4 linked regions of the Stegostoma tigrinum genome follow. The protein of the gene in region 3 purifies or fractionates together with the protein of the main gene of each other region. This does not show direct contact. Links are inferred from orthologs where the notes say so. Each region holds a gene or a part of one and is shown on either strand. Other genes may lie near its edges.

Region 1 (7,184 bases), on a different chromosome or scaffold from region 3:
CACAATCAGAGTTCAAACCTGGGATCGTGAATCAATACTAAATCATATGCACAGCTAACTAATGAGTACCAGAAGGGAGAAGGTGAGGGGAATTTGGTGCAGGCGTTCACTGCATTTTGTATTTCAAGTGAGTTTTGCCCTATTGATAGTTGCAGCATTTTGGACTGCATTCATCAGACAAACACAGAGTGAGGGAGCTGTCCAACAGCTCATTTCTTCTCCAGAGACTGCCCCTCATCTAGCCTTGCTGGAGAGGAGAGAGATAGTGATCAGCCTCTATTCTAAAATAAAACCCTGTGACGTGACAGACAATGAGTTAGCACAGTTAGTAGTTCTCAATTTGGTAGTATACATCACCAAACCTGTTCATTTTGAGAGATGCAACAGTTAAGTTCATGCCTCAGCTGTCTTTAGTCTCTAGCTCTTTCTCAGTTTATCAGTACTGGAGTCACATGGCTGTTATTCTCTTCCTTACAGGCAATAAAGAATGGAAGCTCCATTAACTCCTGAATGTCACTTCAGCCAAATGTCCTTTTTCCTCATCTTAATTCTGACCACATCTTTCTTCATCTCAACCTTGCTGACCTTTTAACATGCTCTGTGATTTTCCCGTTCTTCCTTAACGAATTTCAAGTTTGACATCGGACCATGATTAGATAGGTTTTATGTATGTACAACACATTGCTCTGGTTCACATTGCTGTAAATGCCACTGGAGGACAGCACCAGACAAACATCTATAGTATTTGGTGTACAGCCAGGTGTGACAGTGCCCTCTGCTGGTAGTGATTGGATTACCATTCTTACAAAGCGTTAACAAAGATGATGCAAAACAAAAATGAAAACACATATGCTAAAAATACACCGATATCAATCATTACCTGTAAACAGAAAAGACAGGCTAATGATTTGGGCTTAGTGACTTCTTCAGAATTGTAAAATAAAAGATTAATAAATACGAATAAAATAAGGATAATGTAAGTAATGATGCACTACAACGATTGGATTATCTGGTTCTCGTTCACTTCTTGTTCACTAACGGCCACATCTGATTTCATCTATTTGTGAATCCAGATTCACAGGAATGCATCTGACACTTAATTGACATCAGAAGCTATTGAGTTGTATTCAAGAAGACGACTTGCCACTATCTTCTTGACAGTAATTGTGAATGGACAATAAATGCTGACTTCACCAGAGATGCATCCATTCCATTAATTAATAAAAAGATACGAGATGAGGAGACATTCCTTAGCTCAAGTTTAATGTCCTGCCTAGCCTGTGCAGCAACCTGGGCAGTTTGCATACAAGTCAGTCCATTCAAGCTATTCTGTGTGGGCAGCTGTGCAAAATGATATAAAGGGAGCCACACATTTAAACAAAATGCATTACTCCAGAAATTAGTGTGCAAGGTTATTGAAATATAAAAATTCTCATAAACTCATTGAGTATAGTCAATACAGTCACTAACTAATTTTTGGATATTGAGAAAATCAAAGGATCTAAAGACAGTGTGGGAAGATGGAACTGTGGTTATCATTGTTTAGATATCAGTGAGTTTAAAGATTAGTCATGACCTTATTGAATGACAGAGCACATTTGTATGGTCACATGACCTACTTCAGCTCCATTACATTGTTTTATGTAAATTTTCTTTTCAGTAACACAACCATTTGTTAGTCAACGATCAAATGGAAATAGCTAAGCTTTTGAAAAATATGGAAAATGCATGTGTCTCACATAAAGCCAGCAAATGCTGGGAGCGTAAAATAGATCAGCCCTTCCCACAATGAAAAGGAATAAAGTCTACCATTGTATTCCACAGATATCATATGAGGGTCCCCTCCACATGCCTTTCAATAGTTTCCTGTACCAAGATATCATGTTCCTTCCAGCAATCTCTATCCTTAGGTTTATACATAGGAAATGTGTTTTACTTGTTCAGATCAGCTTGAGTGGCTCCTTGTTGCGTATCTCATCTGGATTCCTCTTACTCCAGCAGTTTGTAAACCCTGACTTGTGCCCTCAACTGGTCTCACAGAAACAGAGAAACAGGTCGTGTACTTTTCAACCACCACCATCCTACTCCAGCATTGAATAGCATCACTAAATCTGGAAACACAGCCCTGGCCATGAACCCAATACAATGTCTCCACTGCTGGCTGTGGTCTACTTGTCATGTTGGCTCTGCAGAATGACATGGGCTCCAAGATCAGTCATGTCAAGAACTTCAATCTTTGCTTGTGCTGCTTCCTGAACAAGGTTCATAAGCTGGAGTGCCTTAGATGAAGTAATGGACTGGTGAGCACATACAGTAGTATTATTTTACAAAGTACTTTTAAAGTGCTGATTTTCATATTTGTGTAACGGATTGAATAATGATTCATAAGTTGGTCAATACTTATATACTAACTATATATGTTTCTATACTGCTTTCTCGCTGTTTATTTTGTTACATCTGAGATCATGTTAACTTCAAGTGTTAATATAGGGTTACATAGGAAATACTTTAGTAAGTGCTGTCTTGTTCTGCATATTATCAGTGTCTCAAGCCACATTCTGAATCTACACCTATTTATAAGGTGATTCCAAGTCTGGAGCAGACTGTTCTGGTGCTGTGCACTGCCTTATGTGGTGGAGACTCTCCAACTCACATTCCAACTCAATGTCTCAGAGCTGGCGGGAGGGGGCGGGGTGGAGTTACGAGATGGAGAATTCTTTTGCAGAGAGGTTCACTTGGAACAGTCATGCTAATCAAAAAATCCCACCTACTGCAGTTCAGACATGCTCTGCCACATATTACTGTAAATCAGGCAGCTTATTGATGTTGTTTTTAGTCTGTTGCAAGTTTTGGGTTCCTTTTTGTTATTAGCTTGCACAAGTAGTGGACAAAGTGCTAAATACTTCAGGTTGCAGAAAAAAAAAGATAGTGGCGTGGCATATTGTCACTGGTTTAGTAATCCAGAGGCCCAAGCTGATGTTCTGCAGACATAAGTTGAAATGCTACGATGGCAGCTGATAGAATTTAAATTCAATTAATAAATCTGGAGTTAATAAATCTGAGTGAGTCTCAATAATGGTGCCATCAGAACTACAACTGATTATTATAAAATAACACCTGTTTCACCAATACCATAAGACCATAAGACATAGGAGTGGAAGTAAGGCCATTCAGCCCATCAAGTCCACTCCGCCATTTAAATCATGGCTGATGGGCATTTCAACACCACTTCCCTGCACTCTCCCCGTAGCCCTCGATTCCTTTTGAGATCAAGAATTTGTCGATCCCTGCCTTGAAGGCATCCAACGTCCCGGCCTCCACTGCAGTCCGTAGCAATGAATTCCAAAGGCCCACCACTCTCTGGCTGAAGAAATGTCGTCTCATTTCAGTTTTAAATTTACCCCCTCTAATTTTAAGGCTGTGCCCACGGGTCCTAGTCTCCCCGCCTAACGGAAACAACTTCCTAGCATCCACCCCTTCTAAACCATACATTATCTTGTAAGTTTCTACTAGATCTCCCCTCAACCTTCTAAACTCTAATGAGTACAATCCCAGGATCCTTAGCCGTTCATCATACGTTAAACCTACCATTCCAGGGATCATCCGTGTGAATCTCCGCTGGACACGCTCCAGGGCTAGTGTCCTGTAGTCAGGGAAATATGACATCCTTATCTGTTATCTGGTCTACTTGTTACTCCGTACACATAACGATGTGGTTGACTCTTCACTTCCCTCTGAAATGGCCCAGCAACACACTCAGTGCAAGGGCACTTAGGGATGGACAACAAATACCAGCCTGGTCAGTGATGTCCACATCCCATGGAGGTAATAAATAGAAAGAAAAGTAAGAAAAGGCAGCAGTATCTTTGTCCTCTGCACAAGTTTCACTCTCAGTCAATGCTGAACTCAGTCATCTGGTTGAGGATTGTGGGGCTGGAGGGAAAATTTCAGAGTTAGGGAGAGGTGAGGATATTGGAGCTATTTGAAAAACAATTTTGGAGGCTTTCAGAGTACTGGATTTTAAATTTATCCTGAATTCAGAATATTGGTGGAGTTAGTGGCGGCTGAGTGACGGCCTTTTGCTGGTCCTGATGCTGCTGGGGCGCAGCTGAGCTGTTGCCTAGTGACCGGGCCTCCCAGGTAACCACTCCGGCCCCGCCCCTTCCCCCCGAGGATGGATAGGTAACCCGGAAGCGGTACCCTTTCCTCTTCCGGCGTGTTGTGGAAAATGGCGACGGACACGCAGGTCTGTGCTGGCGGATTGGAGCTTGGGCTTGTGTTGGGCCTGCGTGGAATCGCAGGCAGGAGCCGGGAATCGACAGACAGCCTCCCCGGGGTGTGGGGGAGACGTTGATCTGGGAGGGGAAGTCGGGAGTGGAGTTTGAGAGATAACGGGGGCAGCGGGTGGGCACTCTCAAAACTCTGGGGGAGAGAAGAATTAGAGTGGAGGCTGTTACTCTGAGGGTGGGAGCGCGATTAGTGAGAGATCAGAGGCATCTTGTTGATCATTCGGGGTGAAGATGATCAAGTTCTTCATCTAAGGCGGTTGGTGGGGTTTCGAGGGGTGCGTTGGCGGTCACAAATGCCGAGCAGTCCTCTGAAGGTGCTGCTGCATGTAAGACCAAGGTACTACAGACAGCTGTGTTTTGGCCGAGTTGCTGGTTGGAGGTTTTTGCTCCTTGGTGTTTACTTTCTGTTTCTGGTATAATGTTGATTCGATAAGGCTGCACAGTTTAGGGCAGTAATCTTGGCTGAGCTTTTCCCAGAAGTTGAAGTCTATATCCAAATTTCTGAATGAGTGATTGTACTGTTTTCATAGAACAGTCTGGTGTGAAGTTTTTCAGCCACTCTGTCACACCAGTCTGGAGTGTTAGCCAAGACCTCATCTTCCTTTGGATGCCAAAGTATCTCTTATTCTATTTGCTATAAAAACTCTACTTGTCTATAGAAAATTTGATTTTTGCATGCATGGGTTCTGGCTACATGACCAGTGCAATTGTGAGGATGATAGGAATATGATGAACATGACTTGCTTGTATATTTGATTATTTTGAGGGAGAATTGGGCATTTTCAGCCTCTATCTCATTTGACCTAACTTCTTCGAGTGGCAGCGTAAGTCTAGATTGCTGGAGTTTAATCTCAAAGCAGTGGGGAGATTAGGACATCATCTGTATCTTGCTAAGTTGTATGTTCCACAAAACAATGCTGACCCATCTTCAAAACTATTGGACCTTTGGGCTGTTCTGCTCTGTCTGCTGTAATCCGTTGTCACATATAAGAGTCGCCACATCTTTAAGTTGCCATGAGTTGGAATCCGTAGGCTGCCCTCAGCAGTTTAATCATCCTTTTCAAGCTGTTTACTGGGGTGTGGCTGAGTTTGTATACTGAAATCTCTCCACAGGTCCAGGTGAGAACCAGCTGAAGGCAGGGACCGTTACCAGATGAATCACTTAAATGTGCAGCAAGCCAGCCTGGGAACAGAGTTGTTCCTTCTGAGCATGACTTAACAATCTAAGGTCCAACAATCCTGAAGATGTGAAGTGTGTAGACCTTGACAAGATACAGAAGATATTTGATCATCCACTGCAAATAGATGTACATCCAGATGTCCAGACAATTGTCTCTGGAACAAATAGGTCAGAGTGAAAGATTAAGTCTGATGATGCGCAATTCTTTCTCAATTTAGCCCAACTCATGCACCAAGTATATTCTCCATTCCATCAGAGATACTCAAGCTTGGGAGAGGAAAGGATGAGAGTATATATTGGGTGGGTATTGGGGACGAGGATAGCAAGGGTATACAGCTTGGAGATGTGTGAACGTGACATATAGAATCCAGGGTGAAGATCAGGAATTGTTAACCTGGGCCAGAAGACAAGTTGAGAAAAAGACAAATATGTGCAGTTGTAGCGAGTTGACGATTTGGGAGAGGTGGCAAGAGAGATCCTGAGCTTGGAGACTGTACATTGGGCTGTGTCAAGAGAACATTATACAAAGTGCAGGGGAAAGGGAATGAGCAACAAGTTGTGGTACACATAGGTGCAAATGTGATAGAAAAGGCACTTGTTTGAAGGAACATTTGTCCGATGTTCTCATGGGAAATTCACTTTGTGATTGGGAGTATTTGAACTAAACTGTCATAGCAGTAGGTACCAATGTAGAGATGCAGAAAAGAGGAAATAAATGTATAAAAGATTACATCCGTGGAATACTGTTAGTACTACACTAGCTAGGAGCATACTGAGAAAAACTGCAAGGAATATAGAACAGCTTCAGAATGGATGTGTGGTTAATGAGGTTGATGAATCACAAGCTGAAATAGCATCGTTGGATTGTAATCGGCTGGAAATAAAAATGGTGACAACTGACCACTTAATTATTAAAGGCACAATGTTCAGAAAAGATAGTGGAGGAATAAAATTGAGGTAGGTTGACATATCTTAAGGTTTGGATTAGTAATGGAGAACAAAGTTGCAATCTAAAGCACAACTTCAAAAGTAGAAGAGGACTAACTTCAGTGAGGGTGGACCTCGTATAAAATCACAAGGGGCATGGATTGGGTGAATAGTCAAAGTCTTTTCCTCAAGTTGGGGGAGTACAAAACCAGATGGCATAGGTTTCAGATGGGAGGGGAAAGATTTTAAAGGGATCTAAGTAGTAACTTTTTCACACAGAAGTTGGTGCATGTATGGAAAAGAACTGCGAGAGGAAGTGGTGGAGGCTTGTTCAATTACAACATTTTAAAAGGCATCTGATTGAGTATCTGAATAGGAAGGGTTTAAAGGGATATGGGCCAAATGCTAGCAAATGGGACTAGATTAATTTGGGACATCTGGTCAGCATGGACGAGTTGGACCAAACAATCTGTTTCCATGCTGTACAGCTCTATGACTCTGGTATGGGTAAAATGGAACCAATGACAGACGAGGAAAACTGAAATGGACCAATGGGTAATAGGGGTGCCAAAAGCTGATATGCTTTCTGAACGAAGATATTGCATATAAGGACTTTCCTAGTAGCCACAGGTCAGTCAATTTAGCACTGGGATTTTGTAAGGTTTCAGAAATAATAAGGGAAATAAATTATAAGGGTTTGAGTTTCTTGAAGTGATCCAGCATCAGTGTGTGAAATGCAGATAGTGTTCAATTTACCTAACTGGATTTTTCGATGAAGTGATAGAGAA
Region 2 (7,630 bases), on a different chromosome or scaffold from region 3:
TGCAGAGGTGTCTTACTGCTGAGATAACAGACCTCCAACAACCCACACATCTCCTATTATGTCGGGAATGACTTCAATCAAAAAAGAATATTTTCCCTAGTTCTCATGAACTTGAATTTTTATTGGGCTCCTTGATAACACATTCAGCCTAATAAATGACCAAAATTCTTGTTAGGCAAAGGTTGTTAATCAAAGTTTAGAAGATAACTGGAAATGTGGAGTTCAAAACACTGACAGATCAATAGAGATCTCACTGAATGGTGGAGCAGCCTCGTGGGATGAAACGGCCAACTTGCACTCCTAATCTGTATATTCACAAGTAAGCAAGTGTGAATTAATCTAAGAGAAGCTTATTCGCTTCACATTCTTCAGTACTTCAAAACTGAGATCTACCTAAAACTCTAAAGTGGTGATCTTACCCTTTGGTCCAAGGGAAGTCCTCAACGTATTGGACACTGCTTTTGCTGCCATAATATGCGACTGTAATGAAAGCAAAAACATTAGAATTTTACTTCAAAAACTCAAATGTCAGAAGTCTAGTCTTTTTGAAAGAACTCTAAGCCTTCCTGTACTTAAAAGCAAATAGCATTTATTTTTAACTATTCATTGAATCAACATGACAGACTGTCTAGATTTCTAAATTGGTAATTGCTTATTTTATAGATGCTAGTGCTGACATTCAAAAATACCAACTGGAAAATCTGTGTCAGAATATCAAAAACAGAAAGTGTTCATGTGCAAGGTAGACCTGTTATTAAGAATCAAGATTCTGCTAAAATGTATCTCCTACATTTTGACTTTATTATACAAGTATAATTAAATGCCATTGCCAAAATGACACTTAGTGGCGTACTTGGATCTAAAGCCCAGAAATTGACCATGTGGTTCATTGGTCTATTCGTGTTTGTACCCCAGAAGTCTCTTTCACTTCAAATACCTCCTCCCATCTTGTCTTTATATCTCTCCATCATCCAAATGTGTGTGTCAATGTTATATGTTTACTATTTCCTTCGGAGTGGGAGTCAAGAAAAATTTGAGACTGCACTCCAATTAAATTCACTAGCTGTAAAACACTGAGGGACATTTGTGAGCATGACAGGTGCTAATAAATGTCGTTTTTCTCCTTTTAGGTGTACATTCACAATAATAATGAAAAATGTTTTCAGTATTAAGTGCTCAATGAACAAAATCTAAACATGAGAAACAGCCTCTTTGATACAATTGTGGGTGAATATACACCATATGCAATTACCAGGCGATTAGGAGGACCCTGTTGAGACAGCTTAATTAAGTTCTTATCCTATAATTTCACTTGGTACTCCTGGGCTAACAAGGGCCAAAGACATCAACCAAGGCTTCCATTTGCAATTACTCAGCATTTCCAATTAGACCACAAGATGTAGGAGCAGAAGTGTAGGCTATTCAGCCATCAAGCCTCTTCTGCCATTCAATGAAATCATGACTGATTCCCAAATCCACATTCCAACTTTTCCCAATAACCCTCAATTATCTAAATGATTAAAAATCTATCAAACATACTTAATGACACCCCCCCACCCCAGTCTCAACAGCCGTCTGTGGCAAAAAATTCTATAGATTACTACTCTTTGAAGGAAAGCTTCTCATCTTAATAAAAACCAAAAGAACTGCAAATGCTGTAAATCAGGAACAAAAACAGAAGTTGCTGGACAAGCTCAGCACGTCTGGCAGCAGTGAAGAGAAAAATCAGAGTTAACGTTTCTAGTCCAGTGACTCTCCCTCCAGTTCTGAAGAAGGGTCAGAGGACCCAAAACGTTAACTCTGATTTTTCTCTTCACAGACACTGCCAGATCTGTTGAGCTTTTCCAGCAACTTTGTTTTTGTGTCGATAATCAATGTTAGGCTTATAAGAATAACAGTTATTTAAGGCAAAATTAGAATGAGAATTAGATAGGGCTTCCGACAAAAGTCAGTATATCCAAGAAAGCAGCAAAGTAAATGGTTTAATTAATACATTCAAGCAGTCAATTCATAAATTTATTCCCAGTTTAATCACTCCCCAATAAAAATCGCTTGCCGATGGATTTATTCACAAAGAGAGATTTAGCAAACCAAACCAAGTGAAATCGAGGTGCAGCTAAGTGAACTGGAGAGCCAAATGTCATACGTCTTAGAAACTAATGTCGAATTAAGTCAGTTTTTTAGAGAATGGATTCATATTGCAATGAAACTACATTTTTGGCGGGCTGTTGTTTCCCTTTCACAGGATCGTAAACAAACTTTTCATTCATATTTTCATCCAGATTTAGTTTTTGATCAAACGTGCTGGAATAAGGATGACAACTACAACGCGATGTATCCCAGATGGCTGCCCAAGTGTGAAGTCCCACCTTCTCAACTATTTTAGGATACTCGAAACATAACTGCATCAGGAGATGAAATGTTAAATGGGTTTAGAACAAAGTCTTGTGAATCGGCGAGGTTTTGTTTTAAATCCTCCGGAGGAAATTTTTCTATAAAATGGACAATATCAGTCAGGACGAGATGGCAATACAACAATTAACGTTAACACACTGGGAGTCAAACTCCCATCTTTTGGTCGTTGCTTGCCGAGTGTCGGCTCCACACTATCACAATGCCATGATATGGTATTTAAAAAATAAAATGCGCTTAAATCGACGCTCCGAAATCAGTCACTTCACTCCGAGCCTCCGATCAAAGGAGATCGGGGGTCCGAGTCGCATCGTATGGTTGCACTAGACACCGAGAGATTAGATTTCTGATCAAGTACAGGCCGCCGGCGCTCTAGGCCGCGACACCACATGTGGGTAGCAGCTAACAAGCCCGGGCCTCTGCTTGTGCCGTTACCTTCAGAGCCTCCAGCCCAGTTAACCGAGATTTGGTTTCCTGATCCTTGACGATGATGAAGGGTCGTCCATATTCATCGAAGGCGAGAGTCCCCAAAGTGGACATGTTTGCGAGCTGACCGGATCAAACCCGCTCACTCCCAGCTCAGTCTCCGCCCAGCAGGTTCTTGGCGGCGGGGGGGGGAAGGGGCTCGAGAACCGGCTTCTGGAACCGTCTAACAGACCGCACCACTCACCATGGGGGGGAGGGTGTGGACGTACACTGATAAATGGGTCAACACTAACAATTTTGACTGCTGTTTGTTTCTATTCTTAACGAATAGAATTTAAAATGTAATCGTATGTCTAATAATTCCAGGTCTGTGTTAAAAAAGTCCAGTGAAATGTTGTGTGGGGATGGGATAATAATAGTTTGATCAGAGGTCCTGCTGGTTCTCGCGAGATTAGGAATTGCCGCCGGGGAGGAGGCGGGTGGAGGTGTTGGTGGTGGTCGCGTTTACTGGTTTTTTTCCCCCTCTTTGTTTGGTTCGGGCTGTCTGGGCTGGATTTTCTGAGGAGTATATATCACAAATACATTGCCTCTCTAACTCTTTAAAAAAAACGACCCGGCCCTGCATTTCTGCTGGAGATTCCTGATCAGGGCTCCTTCAGAAATACGAATCTGTACTTCCAGTGTAGTACAGCGGGGCAGTGGTAGTGCCTGCGCCTCCGACCCAGGAGAACCTGCATTAGAGGTGTGTTTTGACATCTTTGAGCCGGTTTATCGGAAAATAGAAAAGACAGTTAGGGTGGCTTGGTGTTGCTGCTTCCTTACGGCGCCAGAGACTCAATGCCAGACTTTGGTAACTGCATAGTTTGCATGTTCTCCCCATGTTTGCAAGGGCTTCCGCCAGGTGCTCCAGTTTTCTCCCACAGTGCAAAGATAGGCAAGTTAGGTGGATTGAAGACTTTTTTGGAGACCACATCTGGAGTACTGTGTGTAGTTTTGCTTTCCATATTTAAGGATATGCTTTTCTTTGGATATGTTACAGTGACAGTTCACCAGATTGGTGTCCTAAATGAGCAGATTGACCTTTGAGGCTGAATAAATTGGGTTCTCTGATGCTGCCTGGCATGCTGTGTTCTTCCAGCACCACACTGTGTTATCTCTGATTGGCAGTTCTTACTATCTCTAAATTATCCTTTGGTGTGTTGGGATATGCAGGCCAAGTGGCTTAGCCTTAGTAATTGCAGAGTGGCGTGTAAGGAGCTGAGTTTGGATAGGATTCATTTCAGAAGTTTGGTGCAGATTCTTATGGCCTCTTTGCATACTGGGGATTCTATGATTCTAAGATCTGCTTTTCTTAACAGCAGTTTAGATCACAGTCACTTTGCCAGCTCCTGTGAAAGGAGTAAATGGTGCCTATAAGGTACTAGGGCTCAAGGTAGCAAGGGGAGAAAACAGTTTTGGCAGGAGGTGGGGCGGGGGATGATGTGTTGTTGTGGTTGTGCTGGGGGAGTATGTGAAGTTGGGTAATGAGACAAAGAGACTACACAGGGCCGTAAGGCGTTCACCTCTGGCAAATGGTAAGGGGGTGGAGTGATGTCAAGAGTGGTTGTGTGTCAGGAGTTACAGTTGGGTCCAGAGCAGGAACATGTGTGCCAGGTCCATGTGCTGGGGAATGGGTTCCCAAATGGAGGAATGAGTTTGGTCCAAAGGCTGGAGAAAGGTGTCAAGTTTGTAGGAAGTCTGTGTTGGGGGAGTGAGGAGTCAGGGACAGAGCACGGTGTTCTGGATGGAGGCGAGTGCCTTGGTCAGGGTCCTGGGGAGTTTGAGATCTGGGTGAATTGTAATTGAGTGTATGCAGTAAGTTCGGGCTCAGCTAAACAGTTATTCAGGAGTTAGGTATTTAATAGTCTAACTTTTCTTGAGTAACCTTTTACTTAATTGCAGTGACACCCTCCAAATTCAATGATTTAAATAGATACTGAGGTTGAAGACTTGTTTGCCAAACCAGTGTGTTTGATTGTAGATGTTTCGTTACCTTGCTAGGTAACATTGTCAGAGCACCTCCAGTGAAATGTTGGTGTTCTGTCCTACTTGTTATTTTATATGCCTCAGATTACTGGCAACCTGAGCTACATATCTTCTCAAAAACTTTAAATAGATACTTTCAGAGGGTTCCAGATAGGGGAATTGCACGACAAAATTTCAATTTCTTCGACAGTCTGCTTGGAGTATTCTATGATGGGGATTATGTCCCTGTGCACAACTCGTATCTACTGCAAAAATGATTATCTGACCATTGGAATATCTAGGCTGCCAGTTTTGCTTAAACTGTGCAAAAATGGAACCTTGAGATGTACTGTGTAACCATTTGACTCAGTTTTGTGGGATGGCACCAATCGTTTTGCCTAGGCTGATGCAAAAAAGCAAAACGAGGCAGCACAAATAAACACTACCTACATCTCCTGTGGGTCACGGAAGACTTTCAGCATTTGCTATTTTTGCAGTTGGATTTGTGCTTAATTTCTGAAGACAGAGTGTGTAAGATGAGATCTTGAATACCTGCTGTCTGAACGCAGAACGAAAGTATGCAAAACAAGATGAAAAAGAAAATTCATCAAAGAAGGCATCAAACAAAATGGGGCCTGTCGCACCCATTCAAATTGTTGATCTTTGTGATTTGTCGAGAAAGCTGTGAAATGCTATTCCACAAGCTTGCCTTAAGCTCCACTAGAATACCCATTCAGACTGGGAGCCAAGTCAAAAATTTAAAATGACAGCCTACTGGAAGCTTGAGGCTATTTTTGCAAACTTAATTATGTGTTCTGCAAAGCAGTCACCCATCTGTATTTTTCTCCCCATTTAGTGGAGACCAATTCATTAGCAGTGAATGCAATTTCTCTAAAGTGCAAATAAATCGCTGTTTTACCTGGAAGTAATGCTTGATATCTTGGATACTAAGAATGAGGGAGATAATCTTCTGTTGCTTCTTCTGCATTTGTGTGGATAAATGCTGTGGAAAGAGTGGAAGAGTGTTTGAGGTGATTGAGCCAAGGGTGTTTGACATAGTGATCTTTTCAGAATGCTGTCAGACTACAAATACGAGCAGGAATAGACCATTTAGCCTGTTGAAAATATTCCATTCATTTAAGATGATAGTGGCTAATCTTTGGCCTTCACTGTTTTCCCATTGCTCCCTATGACCCTTAATTCCCTGTAGGATCAAAATTTTGTCCACCCCAGCCCTCAAATAAGGCAGCAGTGCTAACCACTGAGCCACCATGGCACCTTAAAGTATGAACTATTTCAGTCCCATTAGAATTCTATACATTTCAATAAGAGAATATCCTAATTTATATGTGGACCCAATTTATTCAGCCTTAAAAGGTCAATCTGCTCATATTAGACACCAATCTGGTGAACTGTCACTAACATATCCAAAGAAAAGCATATCCTTAAATATGGAGACCAAAACTATACACGGTACTCCAGATGTGGTCTGTCCAAGATGTCTATGTTGTATTCTAATGCACCTGTAATAAAGTTTAGCAGGCCGTTTACTTCCCTAATTGTTTTCTGTGACATCGTATTAATTTTCTGCATTCTTTATACAAGTATGCCCAAGTCTTTATGAACATCAACAGTTATAAGTTTCATTTTTAAATTTGTTCATGGGAAGTGGGCATTGCTGGCTACACCAATATTTATTGCTCACCCCTAATTGCCCTGGGAAAGGTACTAGTGAGCAATTTGCTTCTACCACTAATCCTTGAGCTGTGGAAAGCAGATTTCTGGGTTTTGCTGTGAAAAATGAAGGAATGGTGATAGTTTCAAGTCAGGATAATGTGTAACTTGCAGGGGCTGGAGTTCCCAAACATCTGTAGCTTGTCCTAGGTGGTCAGCTGTTAGGGATGTCCATAACAGAGTGGCACAAAATGGTCACTAACTGCCCCTGACTGACTGTACAGCAGAATGTCCGTGATAATAGATAGAGAGCCTTAGAACAATGTTTTCTTAATGTAGTCTCGGCAAGTGGAACAATAGCAAGACTGTTTAATCAAGTTTACTTGCTGGGATGGAATGTACTGCTGCAATTCTTTACATAGATAAGAATATTTTACCCAAAGTAAATGTTTCTCTTGAATTATTAAATCAACCTGTTACAATGTTAGGAGTAGGTTTTAGTCAAGATTCTGCTTTAGTTGCTAGAAGAACTTAACATAAGAACTAGGAGTAGGCCATTTGGCCCTTTGAGCCTGCCCTGCCATTTAATAAGATCATGGCTGATCTTTGAGACTTAGTTCCATTTACCCGCCCACTCACCATAACCCTTAATTCCTTTACTGTTCAAAAATTTATCTAGCCTTGCTTTAAAAACATTCAACGAGGTAGCTTCAACCACTTCGCTGAGCAGGGAATTCCACAGATTGGCAACCATTTGGGTGAAGAAGTTCTTCGTGACCTCAGTCCTACATCTGCTTCCCTTTATTTTGAGGCGATGCCTCTAGTCCTAGTTCTACCTGTTAGCGGAAACAACCTCCCTGGCTCCACTTTATCTATTCCTTTCATTATCTTATGTTTCTATAAGATCTCCTCTCATTCTTCTGAATTCCAATTAGTATAATCCCAGCCTACTCAGTCTCTCCTCATAATCCAACCCTCTCAACTCTGGAATCAACCAAGTGAATCTCCTCTGTACCCCCTAGTACATCTCAAGTAAGAAGACCAAAACTGCAAACAGTTCTCCAGGTGTGGCCTCACCAGGACCCTATACAGCTGCAACATAGCCTCCCTGTTT
Region 3 (6,907 bases):
TTCCTGCCTACTAACCTCATCCCGCTCCCTGGACTGACATATCCCCTCCCTAACTCCTTACTTTACCCACCTCTTTGACCTGTCTGTCTCCTCTCCACTTATCTTCTCCTCTATCTATCTTCTGTCTGCCTCCCCCATCTCCCTATTTATTTCAGAACTCCCTTCCCCTCCCCCTTTTCTGATGAAGGGTCTAGACCCGAAATGTCAGCTTTCCTGCTCCTCTGATGCTGCTTGGCCTGCTGTGTTCATCCAGCTCTACACCTTGTTATCTCAGATTCTCCAGCATCTGCAGTTCCTACTATCTTTGTGATATCCCTGGCACCAGAGAAGTTAGAACCATGCTGCTTCCCTGGTGTTCGCTGTTGTTTCCATTTCTGAAGAAGGATCACCAGACCCAAAAAGTTAACTGATTTCCCTCTCTAGATGCAGCCAGACCTGCTGAGCTTTTCCAGCAACTTCTGTTTATGTTCCTGATTTACAGCATCCACTGTTCTTTTCGTTTTTCTATTTAACCCTTGAGTCCATCACTGATTAAAGGTCTTTTTTATTGTTGATTATGCCTAATGACCTAGCCTCTAAAGCCAAGTGCATAAAGAATTCAGAGATTCGCGTTTAGATGAGAGAAGAAATTCCTTGTCATCTCTATTTTAAGTAGGTGGCGCCTTTTGTCAGATTTTGCCCTCTATATATATATTCTCCCATAGTTCCCACAGTTTAACATCTGTGTCTCATTCTGCTTTGGCTGATCTCAGAAACCACTATTCTCTGCAAAGCATCATTGTCACGGTCAGATTGTTGTTGAATTTGAGGTTAATGACTCCTCAACATCTCTTCCTCCTCAGGCACCTTGGGAAATTTGAGATGTCTGTAAGGGCCCTCAGCAACTTCTACAGATGCACCATAGAAAGTATACAATCCAGGTATTTAATGGCCTGGTATAGCAACTGTGTTGCCCAGGACCATAAGAAACTACAGAAAGTGATGCGCACACCCCAGACCATCATGGAAGGCAACATCCCATCCGTGGACTCTATTTACATGGCTCGCTGCCACAGAAAGGCTGCTAACATTATCAAAGACACTTCCCACTTGGTAATGCTATCTCCCAACTTGTTCCATTAGGCAGAAAATACAAAAGCTTGAACACATGGACCAACAGCTTCCTCCCTGCCATGGAGATGGTAAGGGACTGCAGACACTGGAAGCATGAGTAAATAAATGTGGAGCTGGAAAAGCACAGCAGGTGAGACAACATCCGAGGAGCAGGAAAGTCTGTGTTTGGTTTCTCCGATATAGAGGGGACTGCGTGGGGAGTACCGAATACAATAGATGAGGTTTGATGAAGCGAATCTGTGGCAGATTTGGAAGGATTGTTTGTGGCCTTGGACAGACTTGAGGGGGGAGGTGTTGGGGCAGGTGTAGCACCTCCTGTGGTTGCAGAGAAAGGTACCAGGTGTGGTGGAGGGGTTGGTGGGGAGTGTGGAGCTAATGAGGGAGTTGTGAGTGAGTAGTCCCTGAGGAAAGCAGACATGGTTGGGAAGAAAAACATCTTTTTTGTGATAGTGTCTGATAGTAGGTGTTGGAAATGTCGGGGGATGATGCATTGTATATGGATATTGGTGGGGTGGTATGAGAGGGCTAAGCGGGCTCTATTCTTATTGTTGTGGGGGGAGAAGGTTGAGGGCAGAAGTGAGGAAATGGAGATGCAGTGAGGACTTCCTTAATAACGGAGGAGGGGAAATTACAATCTCTAAAGTAGGAAGATATCCGGGAAGTCCGAGAGTAGAATACTTCACCCTGGGAGCCGCGATAGAGGAATTGAATATAGGATAGCATTTTGGCAGGAGGGTAGCTGAGAGGAGGTGTATTTGAGGTAATTGTTGGAGTCATTTGGGTTTGAAGTGGATGCCAGTGGAGAGTCGGTTATCTGAGATGGCGATGGAGATGGGAGGGAGATGTCAGAAATGGTCCAGGTGAGTTTGAAGGTACGCTGGAAGGTGTTGGCAGAGTTGATGTACTAATCAAGCTTGCAAGCATACAAGGCAGCACTGATAGTCATCAGTATCACAGAGAAAGAGCTGAGGGATTTAGCGGTTATGGTTGTTGAAGAGGGGCTGTTTTACGAATCTTACAAAAAGGCAAGTATAGTTCGGGTCTGAGTGGGTGCCTGTGGCCACCCCTTTGTTTTGTAGGAAGTGGGAGGAATCAAAGGAGAAGTTGTTGAGGGAAAAGACCAGTTCCACCAAGTGAATGAGTGTGTCAGTGGAGTGGAACTGGTTGGGCTTACGGGAGAGAAAGAAGCAGAGGGATTTTTGGCCATCCCTGTGTGGGATACAGGTATCCAGGGACTGAACGTCCATAATGAAGACGGTGGTGCTGGCTCGAAGGGCCGAATGGCCTGCTCCTGCACCTCTTGTCTATTGACGTGTTTAAGGCTGGAAATAGAAAGTTTTCAAATAAGTGGAAGGTGTGGGTTGTGTCCTAAATGTAGATGGGGAGTTCCTGGACCAAAGGGGAAAGAACAGATTTGAGGTTGGTGAAGGTGACCTCAATGGGGCAGGAGCAGGCAGACGGGTTTCAGGATTTGGGTAGGAGATAGAAGTGGGCAATGCAGTGTTGGAGAACTATCAGACTGGAGACTATGCACGGGAAATCTCCCGAGGTGATGAAGTTGTCGACGGTCTGGGTGATGATGGCTTGGTGATTAGAGGTAGAGTAGTGATTCCCTGGCATTGTTAGGCAGCTGAATGTATCTCTCTAATTTAAATCTAATGTTGACCTTGCTCCTCTGCAGCCATAACCTAATGCCTCGCTCTGTCTAAGCGTCCTATGATCTGTAGGAGAGAGATAATGGGAACTGCAGATGCTGGAGAATTCCAAGATAATAAAATGTGAGGCTGGATGAACACAGCAGGCCAAGCAGCATCTCAGGAGCACAAAAGCTGACGTTTCGGGCCTAGACCCTTCATCAGAGCTCTGATGAAGGGTCTAGGCCCGAAACGTCAGCTTTTGTGCTCCTGAGATGCTGCTTGGCCTGCTGTGTTCATCCAGCCTCACATTTTATTATCTATGATCTGTAGGTCCTGGTTTGCTCCGATCTGCTTGCAAATCAAAGCTTTTCACTGTACTTAGGTACATGTGACTACAATAAATCAAAATCGGGGGTCTCCTGCAGTGCCATAATGATGCCACCAGAAGGTTGCAGGAACAGCAACTCACATTCAGCTTGGGAACCCTGCAGCCCAATGGTATCAATGGGGATTTCACCAGCTTCAAAATCTCCCCTTCCCCAATGCATCCCAAAACCAGCCCAGCTTGTCCCCACCCCCCACTGCATCCCAAAAACCAGCCCAGTTCATCCCCACCTCCCTAACCTGTTCTTCCTCTCACCTATCCCCTCCTCCCACCTCAAGCTACACCTCCATTTCCCACCTACTAACCTCATCCCACCTCCTTGACCTGTCCGTCTTCCCTGGACTGACCTATCCCCTCTCTACCTCCCCACCTATACTGTCCTCTCCACCTATCTTCTTTACTCTCCATCTTCGGTCCGCCTCCCCCTCTCTCCCTATTTATTCCAGTTCCCTCTCCCCATCCCCCTCTCTGATGAAGGGTCCAGGCCCGAAACGTCAGCTTTTGTGCTCCTGAGATGCTGCTGGGCCTGCTGTGTTCATCCAGCCTCACATTTTGTTATCTTGGATTCTCCAGCATCTGCAGTTCCCAATATCTCTGATACCAATTGATGTGGATCGTCTCACCTGGGCGTGGGGGCGGGGCGTGGGGCGGAGTCGTACACCGGCGGATTGCGGTAGGCGGTTCCCGTTCCAGGGGCGTGGCCGTGCACCTTCAACGGGTATGGGGGCGGGACACCAGGAGGCGATGAAGGCGGTGATACGCATGCGCATTTCTCCAAAACGGCGGGCGGTGCCGTTACCGCTGCGCAGGCGCGGCTTCTCAAAGTTTCCTCGCTTTGGGGCGAACCTGAAAGAAACGGTGAGGATCCGGTTACCGAGGCAACGGGATTTGGGTGGAGTGCGTAACCTGGGTAACGGGGCTTGGGAGAGTGTAACCGGGGCAACGGGGTTGGGAGGGAATAACCAGAAGAACGGGGGGAGGCGGCGCCACGATTCCGAGTTTTGGCTCAGGACGGCATTGAGCCTCGGGTGGGGTGGGGCAGTTAGTTGGCACTCAGCCTGGGGGTGGGGGTGTGGGGTGAATGTGCTGGGTGGAGGGGGGTGTGGGAAACACTGATCCCTGGGGAGGGGGGTGTGGGAAACGCTGATCCCAGGGAGGGGGTGTGGGAAACACTGATCCCTGGGGAGGGGGATGTGGGAAACGCTGATCCCAGGGAGGGGGGTGTGGGAAACACTGATCCCTGGGGAGGGGGGTGTGGGAAACACTGATCCCAGGGGAGGGGGAGTGGGAAACACTGATCCCAGGGAGGGGGTGTGGGAAACACTGATCCCAGGGAGGGGGGTGTGGGAAACACTGATCCCTGGGGAGGGGGTGTGGGAAACACTGATCCCAGGGTAGGGGGGTGTGGGAAACACTGATCCCAGGGTAGGGGGGTGTGGGAAACACTGATCCCAGGGGAGGGGGTGTGGGAAACACTGATCCCAGGGAGGGGGTGTGAGAAACACTGATCCCTGGGGAGGGGGTGTGGGAAACACTGATCCCTGGGGAGGGGGGTGTGGGAAACACTGATCCCTGGGGAGGGGGGTGTGGGAAACACTGATCCCAGGGAGGGGGAGTGGGAAACACTGATCCCAGGGGAGGGGGTGTGGGAAACACTGATCCCTGGGGAGGGGGGTGTGGGAAACACTGATCCCTGGGGAGGGGGGTGTGGGAAACACTGATCCCAGGGAGGGGGTGTGGGAAACACTGATCCCTGGGGAGGGGGAGTGGGAAACACTGATCCCAGGGGAGGTGTGTTTGTGAGTGTGACGGGTGAATGTGCTGGGTGGAGGAGGGAGTGAGAAACACTGATCCCAGGGGTGGGGAGGTGGAACACTGATCGGGGATGGGGAGGCACGTGCGAGTGCGAGGGGTGAATGTGCTTGGGCGGGGGTATCAGAACACTGATTCTGGGTGTGGAGGTGTGTGCAAATGTTGGGAGTGAATGTGCCTGGGGGTATGGAATGGATTGTCAAATTCCTGAAATGGAGGTATGAGAGGACACTGATCTTCAGTTGTGGGTGTGGGCACTATACCTCAGGAGATATCAGGTGCACGGAGCCTGAGTGTGGGGAAGTTTAGGGTAAAGTCGGGTGTCTGAAGGAGCACTGAAGCAGGGATTGGGGGTTTGACAGCATCCAGCCTGCGAGTTGGGCGAGGTGGGGGGTAGGCACTGAGCCTTGCCAGGCTAGATGAATGATTCAGAGTGTGAGGGCCATTGAACCTGAGGGGGTGGGGGTACTGAGCCTTGGAGTAGTTGGGCTGAAGAGGCACTGAGCTTCGGAGGTATGGGGATATTTATTGGATTGGGCTTTCTCTGGTTTCCTTGATAGTGATGTAGTCCATTGTTTATGTTTTATAAGTATTTTCATTGATTGAGGTCTTTGTGTTTTTGCCATTAAACTTTAATCGGTATGAAATTTCTGCTAAAATTCAAAACAGCGCACCATTTTTGTTCCTTTATATGCATTTATTGTCCATCTGTAATAGCCACAGAGATGGTATTGATCTGCCTTCTTGTATTGCTATAGTCCTTGGGGTCTGGGACCACTCACGATGCTGTTTGGAACGCAGTATTTTGAACCTGTGACAGTGAAGGAATGGTGATACAGTACCAATTCAGAATGATGTGTGCAAAGGAAGTCTTAACAATGTACTTAGGAAAGTATAACTCAGTTATATCGAGTCAGTATGCTTCTGTGAAAGGGGAAATCCTGTTTGACAAATTGATCAGTTTTTTGATGCTGTGACGTAAATAAAAGGGAATCTGAATTTTGCTGAAAAGAAAGATATGTTGTTCATTCTCTTGTCTTGTTTGCTTTGCTCTTAGTAGAGAGGATCGTTTTCTCTCTTTCAAACCTTAATTTACAATCAATTTAAATCTCTCTCCATCATGAGCAACTTTTTTACACTGGGATTCTGCCTCTGTCAACAGCATAAAGAAGGATATTTTCCAACTCTTTTCAGAACTGAAGAAGTCATACTAGACTCGAAGCTTTAACTGTTTGCCCACAGATTCTGCCCAGCCTGTTGAGTTTCTTCAGTTTCTGTTTCTGTTTTCTGCAGTATTTTGCATAATATAGTTTTGCATTATATAATATTTTGTCTGATCTTTTCGCTTTGCTCTCAGGCCAAACACAAGGACAAGTTTTAAACAATGGTAACAATATATATGAACAAAAATGTGCTGACAATATACTGCACTGCCTATATTTGTACTAAAGCTGTCCTGTACTCACTGAGGCTCCCCAAATGCCTGGGTTGGACAACAGATCAATTGTTTTATACAGAAATAGTAGGAACTGCAGATGCTGGAGAATCTGAGATAACAAGGTGTAGAGCTGGATGAACACAGCAGGCCGAGCAGCATCAGAGGAGCGGGAAGGCTGATGTAGCGGACCTAGACCCTTCTTCAGAAAACTCGTTTTATACTGCTGTTTTACAGTGGCCATGCAAGTTGTATGTTCCATTAAAGGTTGCTACCATCAGATAAGTTTGAAATCTTCCACGTAATTCAGCAATGTCATGTATCCCAGGCACATAAGCCATATTCCTCAGGAATTTTGATTGTTTCATTCAGTGTCTTTTTGGGAAGGAAATTGCTGTATTTACCAGGTCAGGCCTATGTCTGGCTCCAGACCAATAATGTGGCTGATTCTTTGCTACCAAGGGCATTAAATGCAGTAAGGCTGACATTTCAAGCCTAGGGCCTTCTTCAGAAAAAGGACCTTTC
Region 4 (6,980 bases), on a different chromosome or scaffold from region 3:
TTGGCTTGCCTCCTTGATATTAAAACATCATTTTATTGCATGCAGTTATTAAAATGTATCCCATGGTGACCATGCAGGTGAGAAGCCCAAATAAATTCACTTCTGTTCCCCATCATTTTTATTTGGTTATCAATGACTTATCTTCCACAAATTTTTTCCTGTATTGGTTTGGAGAAATAGAACTTCTCCATCTATCCTGTATAATCAATGAGAGATTGATGCTACGATACCAGTTGATGTTACAAGTAAACAAGTCATATCTCTGACAGAACCCTGGCTTGGTGGATCATGCTGTGATTTGTTTTTGTTTTCATGAAGTGGTCCCTTGCTGAACATAGGCACACAATGCTGCAGATTTTTACTTTAACGATGAAAAGAAGTTTATTAGTCAAAGAAATGAGCATAAAACAGGATAAACTAAACCATCTGTTATAATACCAATTCAAAGATTTTTAAACATACAGTGCAAGTATAATCCAACTAGTAATGGCATTGATACAAATAATGGACATTTCCAAGGTTTGAATTACTGTCTACTTATCTGCATTACGCAGCAAATCATCAACCTGCTTGGGTGTGAAAACAACTTCCATAAAATTCTCTGCTTCCAGGAGATTAATATTGAAAATGACACAATTCTAATTTCAATGTTCAGTTTAATCTGCTCTGCTAGATGGCAGATTGAGGAGCACTGCTCCTGAGATTGCAGGCTTATTTCCAGATTTACTTCTAGATTTCTTCAGTTACTTTAAGTACATGAATAAGAAATCTTTGGAGGTATATGGCGTAGTCCTGCTCCTATTTCTTTATGTGCATATTTAAAAAATGGGAGGGAAGCATGTAGAGTCAGAATTTCTTATTAGATGTTTGATGTCACCTGACACTTCATATCACAGACTCCATCTTAGAACAGGCCACTTGAAGTGTGGCACACCAATGAAAGCATACAGCTTTTTGTTACCAAATAACTTGATGTTTGCCCAGATATGGATGTGCCCATGAATGCAATATCTGTATAGTCTGCTGTAACAAACATCTCAGTGATTGTTTCAATAACACATTAGCCCTATGTAGTCTTGTGTTATGAGGGATAACAAACATTGCCATCTCATGTAAAGAAGGCTGAAGGCAAAAAGCCCATCATTAGGATACCCTGTTGCAAATCACTACAATTCAGGACATTTAAGTGGTGAGGTAATTTAGGTAAAAGACAGGTAGTAAAAGGACAGAACAGTGCAATTAGAGTGCCTCCAATGATCAGGTTTGTGATCTGGAAGAAAAATACATTACAACAGCAAATCTAATGGGTTAGTATTAGTCATTTTGGTGTGTCATAGCTGCCTCAACAGGTTAGGTGGTGTGTCAACCCCTGAAATGATCTAAGTATCTACTGTTTTTACAGATGTTGACTCCAGTGCCTTATTTCTGCTAGTGGGGTCGAGGAGGGGACAATGAACCTCCCTTATGAGTTGGGAAAATTGTTATGCCCTTCAACATGTGCATCCCTTCAATCTCTATTTTTTAAAAAATGACTGAACTAATACAGTTACTTTTTGTTCAATATGACAGTGAAAAGTTTTCATTTGTCACCGTTATCTGGCATCATTTTGAATAAATTAGTAAGGATTAAAGTGCAAGCCCAAACAACATCGGAATCACCTGTCTTGGTGCTGGGCCTACCTCCAATGGCGCTGTGATGCCCATCTGCTGCTGCTTCATCACTGCCAGCATGAGACCCAAGCAGTGACAAGGTTGCTGATCCTCAGGTGCAATGTCTCACCCATAAGCCTGCCTCTGGTGATGTAACCACCACCGATTCTGATGCCAGGTCCTGTGCTCACCCTGGAAAGGTAAGGACTCATTCAGGGTCAACACTGGGCCCAATCAATGTCTGCCTGGTACCTATCAAGGTCTGCTTACCTGGCCTGTTCAGGGTCTGCGGTGGGCTCTCGCTGCTAACGCTGACCGAGCTCAGGACTAGAGGTAAGAAAAGATATACGGCGGGGGGGGGGGGGGAGAAAAAGAGAAGAAAAGAAAGAAAAGTGATCGGAGCAATGAGCTCCTGTTCAGGAGCTCTACTCCTGTGCCATCTTCTTCAATTCTGTCAATAACTCAGAATCTGACTCCCATTAAGAGTGATAGAGGTGTATATCACAAACAGACTCTGGTCCAATTCATCTATGCTGACCAGATCCTAAATAAATCTTGTACCATTTTCCAGTATTTTGCCAATATCGTTCTAAACCTTTCCTATTCATATAGCTATCCAGTTGCCTTTTAAATGTTGTAATTGTACCAGCCTCCTCCACTTCCTCTGGCAGCTCATTTTGTACATGCACCACGCTTTGTGTGAAAATGTTGCACCTTGGGTCCCTTTTGAATCTTTCCCCTCTCACCTTATTCCTATGCCCTGTGGAAAAGACCTTGGCTATTTACCTTATCTATACCCCTCATGATTTTACAAATTTCTATAGTATCACACCTCTGCTTCTGACACTCCAGGGAAAATAGTCCTAACCTATTCAGCTTCTCCATGTTGCTCAAACCATCCAATCCTAGCAATGTCCTTGCAAATCTTTATGAACCCTTTCTAGTTTTGCAACATCCTTGCTATTAGCAGGGAGACCAGAATTGCAAAGAGTATTCCCAAAAAAATGGCCGAGCCAATGTCCTGTATAGCTGCAACATGACCTCACAACTTCTATACGCAATGCACTGACCAAAAAAAAGCAAGCATACCAAACACCACCTTCACTATCCGATCTACCTGTGACTCCACTTTCAAGGAACTATGAAGTTGCACTCTTTGTTCAGCAACACTCCCCAGAACCTTACCATTAAGTGTATAAGTCCAGCCCTGATTTGCCTTTCCAAAATGATTCTTTTTAAACTTGCATCATTTTGGGATTATCCCTTATTTCTAATCTGTATGCATGTGTATTGCTTTACTAGTTGTTGGTAATTAATAAATTTGCTCTTTGACTCAAGAAAGCCTAGTTTAGTTTGCACCTTTTGAAGCATGAGTTCATTTGGGTCTGAGAGAAGGGTATTCACCAGGAAAGGGATCCATTTTTAAAGTGACCTTGTTATAACTAAACAATGGAAAAGTGGATGCAGGTGAATAAAGGGAGCCAGTTCATCTCATCTCACGTCACCCAGACGCTCAACAATTCGGGGCATGCTATCTGGAACCATAACAAATTAAGGAATCCCACGAGCAATGGGAGCATCAGCCACACACCAGTCAGACATGGGAACTATATTGCCGTTCTTACCCTGTGCTGTGTTAAAATTCCGCAAGTCACTAACAGCATTGAGTGTGATCTTAACAACCCTCGGAGTTTCTAAAGAACACTGCTGGCCACCACTTTGTCCAAGAGTGAAGGGATAGGCAATAAAATGTTCCTCTAAAATAATGCAAAAAAAAGGGGGAATCCGGAGATCTGAAACAAAAACAGAAATTGCTGGAAAAAACTCAACCAGTCTGGCAGTATCTGTAGAGAGAAAGCAAAGTTAACATTTTGAGTCTAGTCATTCTACCATACCCTAGCCAGCGACATTCCACATCCCACGAATAAGTGAGTTAAAATACTTGGAGGGTTTTAGCACTAAGGGCGATAAATGAAGCGAACTCTTGTTGGTGCAGTGATAATGGGAACTGCAGATGCTGGAGAATCCAAGATAACAAAGTGTGAAGCTGGATGAACACAGCAGGCCAAGCAGTATCTAGGGAGCACAAAAGCTGACGTTTCGGGCCTAGACCCTTCATCCTCCGTCTAGGCCCGAAACGTCAGCTTTTGCGCTCCCTAGATGCTGCTGGGCCTGCTGTGTTCATCCAGCTTCGCTGATATCTTGTTGGTGCATCCTCCTCCAACCGAAGTGTGGCATAGATGCAAGCGTGTAAAGTCAGTCCTCCAGGCTAGGGGGAGTCGGAGAGGGCATTGTCGATCGGGACCAGTGCTTCCTCCTTCTTGGGCTGGAGCCGGGTTTTTTTTGTGGCTTGCGGATTGCAGGTTCGATGCTCCGCTGCCGTGAGTGAGGTCCATTGTGGTTTCCGGCTGTAGAGAACGCCGTAACAGCCTCTCACGGTAGCCCCTTCTCCACCCCGGTGGGTGACAGGAAGATATCACCTCCCGGCTGTAGGGGAAGGTGAGGAGGGGGATGTGACAGGCACCCGAGGCTGACGCAGTCGGTGGATCAGCGCGGGGAGGGTTTTGGGTTTTCGGGCCCGGTGGCTCGGACCATGGCCTCGGGGAAGTCGGTGCTGTGCGGCGTCGCCAGCCTTTACCTGAGCGGCTTCTGTATCTTTCTGATGGTCGATGTCTACGCTCGGCCGACCAACAACTCAGCCGTCAAGCGGGAGAAGTCGGGCGCCAAGCTGGACGACAACGAGATCCAGCCCCCGAACCACCTGAGCGGGCTTAAACTGGAGAAGGGGGGTGTCCTGAACAAGGATTTCCACCAGGAGGTCTTCCTGGGCAAGGAGATGGATGAGTTTGAGGCGGACTCCGAGCCCGTCAGAAACCGAAAGAAGCTCATTGCCATTTTTGAAAAGTGAGTACTGTCGTCAGCATTTTCTCGGATGGGAGACAGGGCAGGATTTATACACTCAATAGTAAGGTCCTGGGGAGTTGTTAGTCAACAAAGAGACCTTGGAGTGCAGGTTCGTAGTTCCTTGAATGTGAAGTTGCAGGTAGACAGAATAGTGTTCGCAGTTTGGGGCTGGGCCCAGATCTTTTAAAATGACAGTCATTCAGAAAATCTAGTCTCAGTGCTTAATCCTACCCTAGTTGATAATGTTCTAAAACCAGGATAAGTTTTTGTTTAGTAATTGAGTGTGGCTGGTATTTATGCTTGGCACTGATTTCTTGAACCAAGATTAGGAAAGTCACTTGAGAATGTGACACTTATTATTCTTGAATGCACGATTCTAGTATTTGCTTTTTTAAAAAATTCCACCGTGGCTTTTGTTCACGTCTAACACCACACCCTTGGAAATGTGAGCACTTATGATTATGGTATCATCACTCTCAATTTTAAGTGCTCTGTGGTAGTTGCACCTTCAGTTGCCTAGGCCCAAAGTTTTTGTAAACCCTTTCATACACCTGTCTGTCTCTCTGTCTGTCTCTCTGTCTGTCTCTCTGTCTGTCTCTCTGTCTGTCTCTCTGTCTGTCTCTCTGTCTGTCTCTCTGTCTGTCTCTCTGTCTGTCTGTCTCTCTGTCTGTCTCTCTCTGTCCGATGTCCTCAAAACGTTCCTTTTTTGGGTCCTTTAACAAAATCTACTTTTTTGTGCTTTGGTGTAATACTTTTGTTTCAGAACATTCTAAGATGCTTTGCAGAAACATTATATCAGGTTAAAGGTGCTACATAAATATGTTGTTGCTCAATATGCTGAGAATTTCGAGTTAAGTGTCCTCTAGTTTTTTAAACTTGTTCCTAATCTCGATGTGGATCACATTCTGTCTGTACTGTTTACACTGTGTTAATAATTGTACGGTTATCACTACAGCATTTAGTGAGTATATGATGAGCATGAGGTTAGTACATAGAAACAATTTTGTTGTTTTATACATCGTGCAGTTAAGAGTTATACAGTGGCATTCCAAATGGCCTTTGAGTAGATGGTGATGATGTCCCTTTTTGTTGTTGTTGTGCAGTGCCTGTTCGCTTTATTTTGATAACCTTCAATCCTTTGTTTGCACAGCCATGCAAGTTAAACCTAAAGGAGTTGACTTGTGCACAATTTATTTGACTTCTGCATTGCTACACGGTTGTGCATCCCAGAGAGAGCATTGGTGGTGAGCTGTCACTTGAACTGCTACGATGTGTTGATATTCTCCAGTCCTCAAAGGAATTCTTGTATTTTAGTGACAGTAAAGTTCCAAAGCAGAATGATGGGTGACTTGGTGGGAAGCTTTGGAGCTGGTGGTGATTCCATGTATCTGCTGCCCTTGTTCTTGACATGATGCTAGGGACAGATTTGGTAGATACTGTCAAAGGAGCATTGGTAAGAAGTTGTAATTAATGCTGCATCATTATAGAAAATACTCCCTCAAGCCAGAGTGCTGCCGGAGGAATGAATTAAGTTGATGAATGAGGTGATGGGCTACTTCTTATTCTAGGAGTGTTAACCACCTTGATTGTTGTTGCTGCCCTCATTCAGGCAAGTGGGAGGGATTTAACACACTCTTGACTTGTGCCTTGCCGATGGTGGATAGACTCTGGGGAGTTGAGAGGTGAGTTACTCAGCAAATAATTCCCAGATCTGACATGTTCTTGTATCTACAGATTTAATACAATTGGGTGAGTTAGGTTTTAGTCACTGCTGACTCCCAATACATTGGTGGACGGTTCAACGATAGTAATGCCATTGAAGGTCAAGCAGGGCTAGACACATGCTTATCGTTGCTTGGCACTTGTGTGTCATGCATGTTACTCGCCACTTATCTACCACAGCATGAAGGTTATCCGTATCTTCCTGCATCCAGGCCCATTATCTGAGCTGTTCCAACTGGTGCTGAACATTGTGAAACATTGGTTGAAGCAGCTGGAAATGGACTGTACAATTAAATTACTTTTTAACGCTAAGATAGAGAAACAAAGACTTATTTGAAAACTGGACATTGAGCCAAGGAAGAAAATATTTTGAGGCTGTTACAAAATATTTCTTGGTAGAAGTGAACGTGAGTTTAAAAGAGGCAGGAAGATTTTAGAGAGGGCATGGCCACCACAGATGCATGGAACAAATGAAGGTGTGGAGTCTGGAATCACAGGAATAAGTAATTTGGTATAGGGTTGTTTGGCAGGTAAATGGCTTCACTCTTCTCCATAAAGAACTATGAAAGTGAAAATTTAAGGTGTTGAACAAGCAAGATTCGTATCCGTGAAGGAGTGGACCTTTTGTGTAGGATCTGAAACGCAGCAAGTAATTGATTAATTGAAGTTTATGGAGGTTGGAAGGTAGGAGGACACTGTCGCAC

The links.
Region 1: the proteins of ilk (region 3) and gcn1 purify together in Homo sapiens (affinity purification with mass spectrometry; 3 studies listed by BioGRID and IntAct, with this or other methods). This does not show direct contact. The link is inferred for Stegostoma tigrinum from reciprocal best matches to the Homo sapiens genes ILK and GCN1.
Region 2: the proteins of ilk (region 3) and cct5 purify together in Homo sapiens (affinity purification with mass spectrometry; 4 studies listed by BioGRID and IntAct, with this or other methods). This does not show direct contact. The link is inferred for Stegostoma tigrinum from reciprocal best matches to the Homo sapiens genes ILK and CCT5.
Region 4: the proteins of ilk (region 3) and sdf4 purify together in Homo sapiens (affinity purification with mass spectrometry; 3 studies listed by BioGRID and IntAct, with this or other methods). This does not show direct contact. The link is inferred for Stegostoma tigrinum from reciprocal best matches to the Homo sapiens genes ILK and SDF4.

What each region holds. Positions count from the first base shown.
Region 1 is NC_081379.1:44,849,470-44,856,653, reverse strand, and holds the start of gcn1 (stalled ribosome sensor GCN1), read left to right. Parts: upstream 1-4,178; 5' UTR 4,179-4,228; coding exon 4,229-4,246; intron 4,247-7,184. UniProt on the Homo sapiens protein: Ribosome collision sensor that plays a key role in the RNF14-RNF25 translation quality control pathway, a pathway that takes place when a ribosome has stalled during translation, and which promotes ubiquitination and degradation of translation factors on stalled ribosomes.
Region 2 is NC_081355.1:89,123,573-89,131,202, reverse strand, and holds the start of cct5 (T-complex protein 1 subunit epsilon), read right to left. Parts: upstream 3,018-7,630; 5' UTR 2,953-3,017; coding exon 2,848-2,952; intron 481-2,847; coding exon 420-480; intron 1-419. UniProt on the Homo sapiens protein: Component of the chaperonin-containing T-complex (TRiC), a molecular chaperone complex that assists the folding of actin, tubulin and other proteins upon ATP hydrolysis.
Region 3 is NC_081359.1:113,379,940-113,386,846, reverse strand, and holds the start of ilk (integrin-linked protein kinase), read left to right. Parts: upstream 1-3,884; 5' UTR 3,885-3,897; coding exon 3,898-3,993; intron 3,994-6,907. UniProt on the Homo sapiens protein: Scaffold protein which mediates protein-protein interactions during a range of cellular events including focal adhesion assembly, cell adhesion and cell migration.
Region 4 is NC_081381.1:29,565,520-29,572,499, reverse strand, and holds the start of sdf4 (45 kDa calcium-binding protein), read left to right. Parts: upstream 1-3,958; 5' UTR 3,959-4,243; coding exon 4,244-4,554; intron 4,555-6,980. UniProt on the Homo sapiens protein: May regulate calcium-dependent activities in the endoplasmic reticulum lumen or post-ER compartment. Isoform 5 may be involved in the exocytosis of zymogens by pancreatic acini.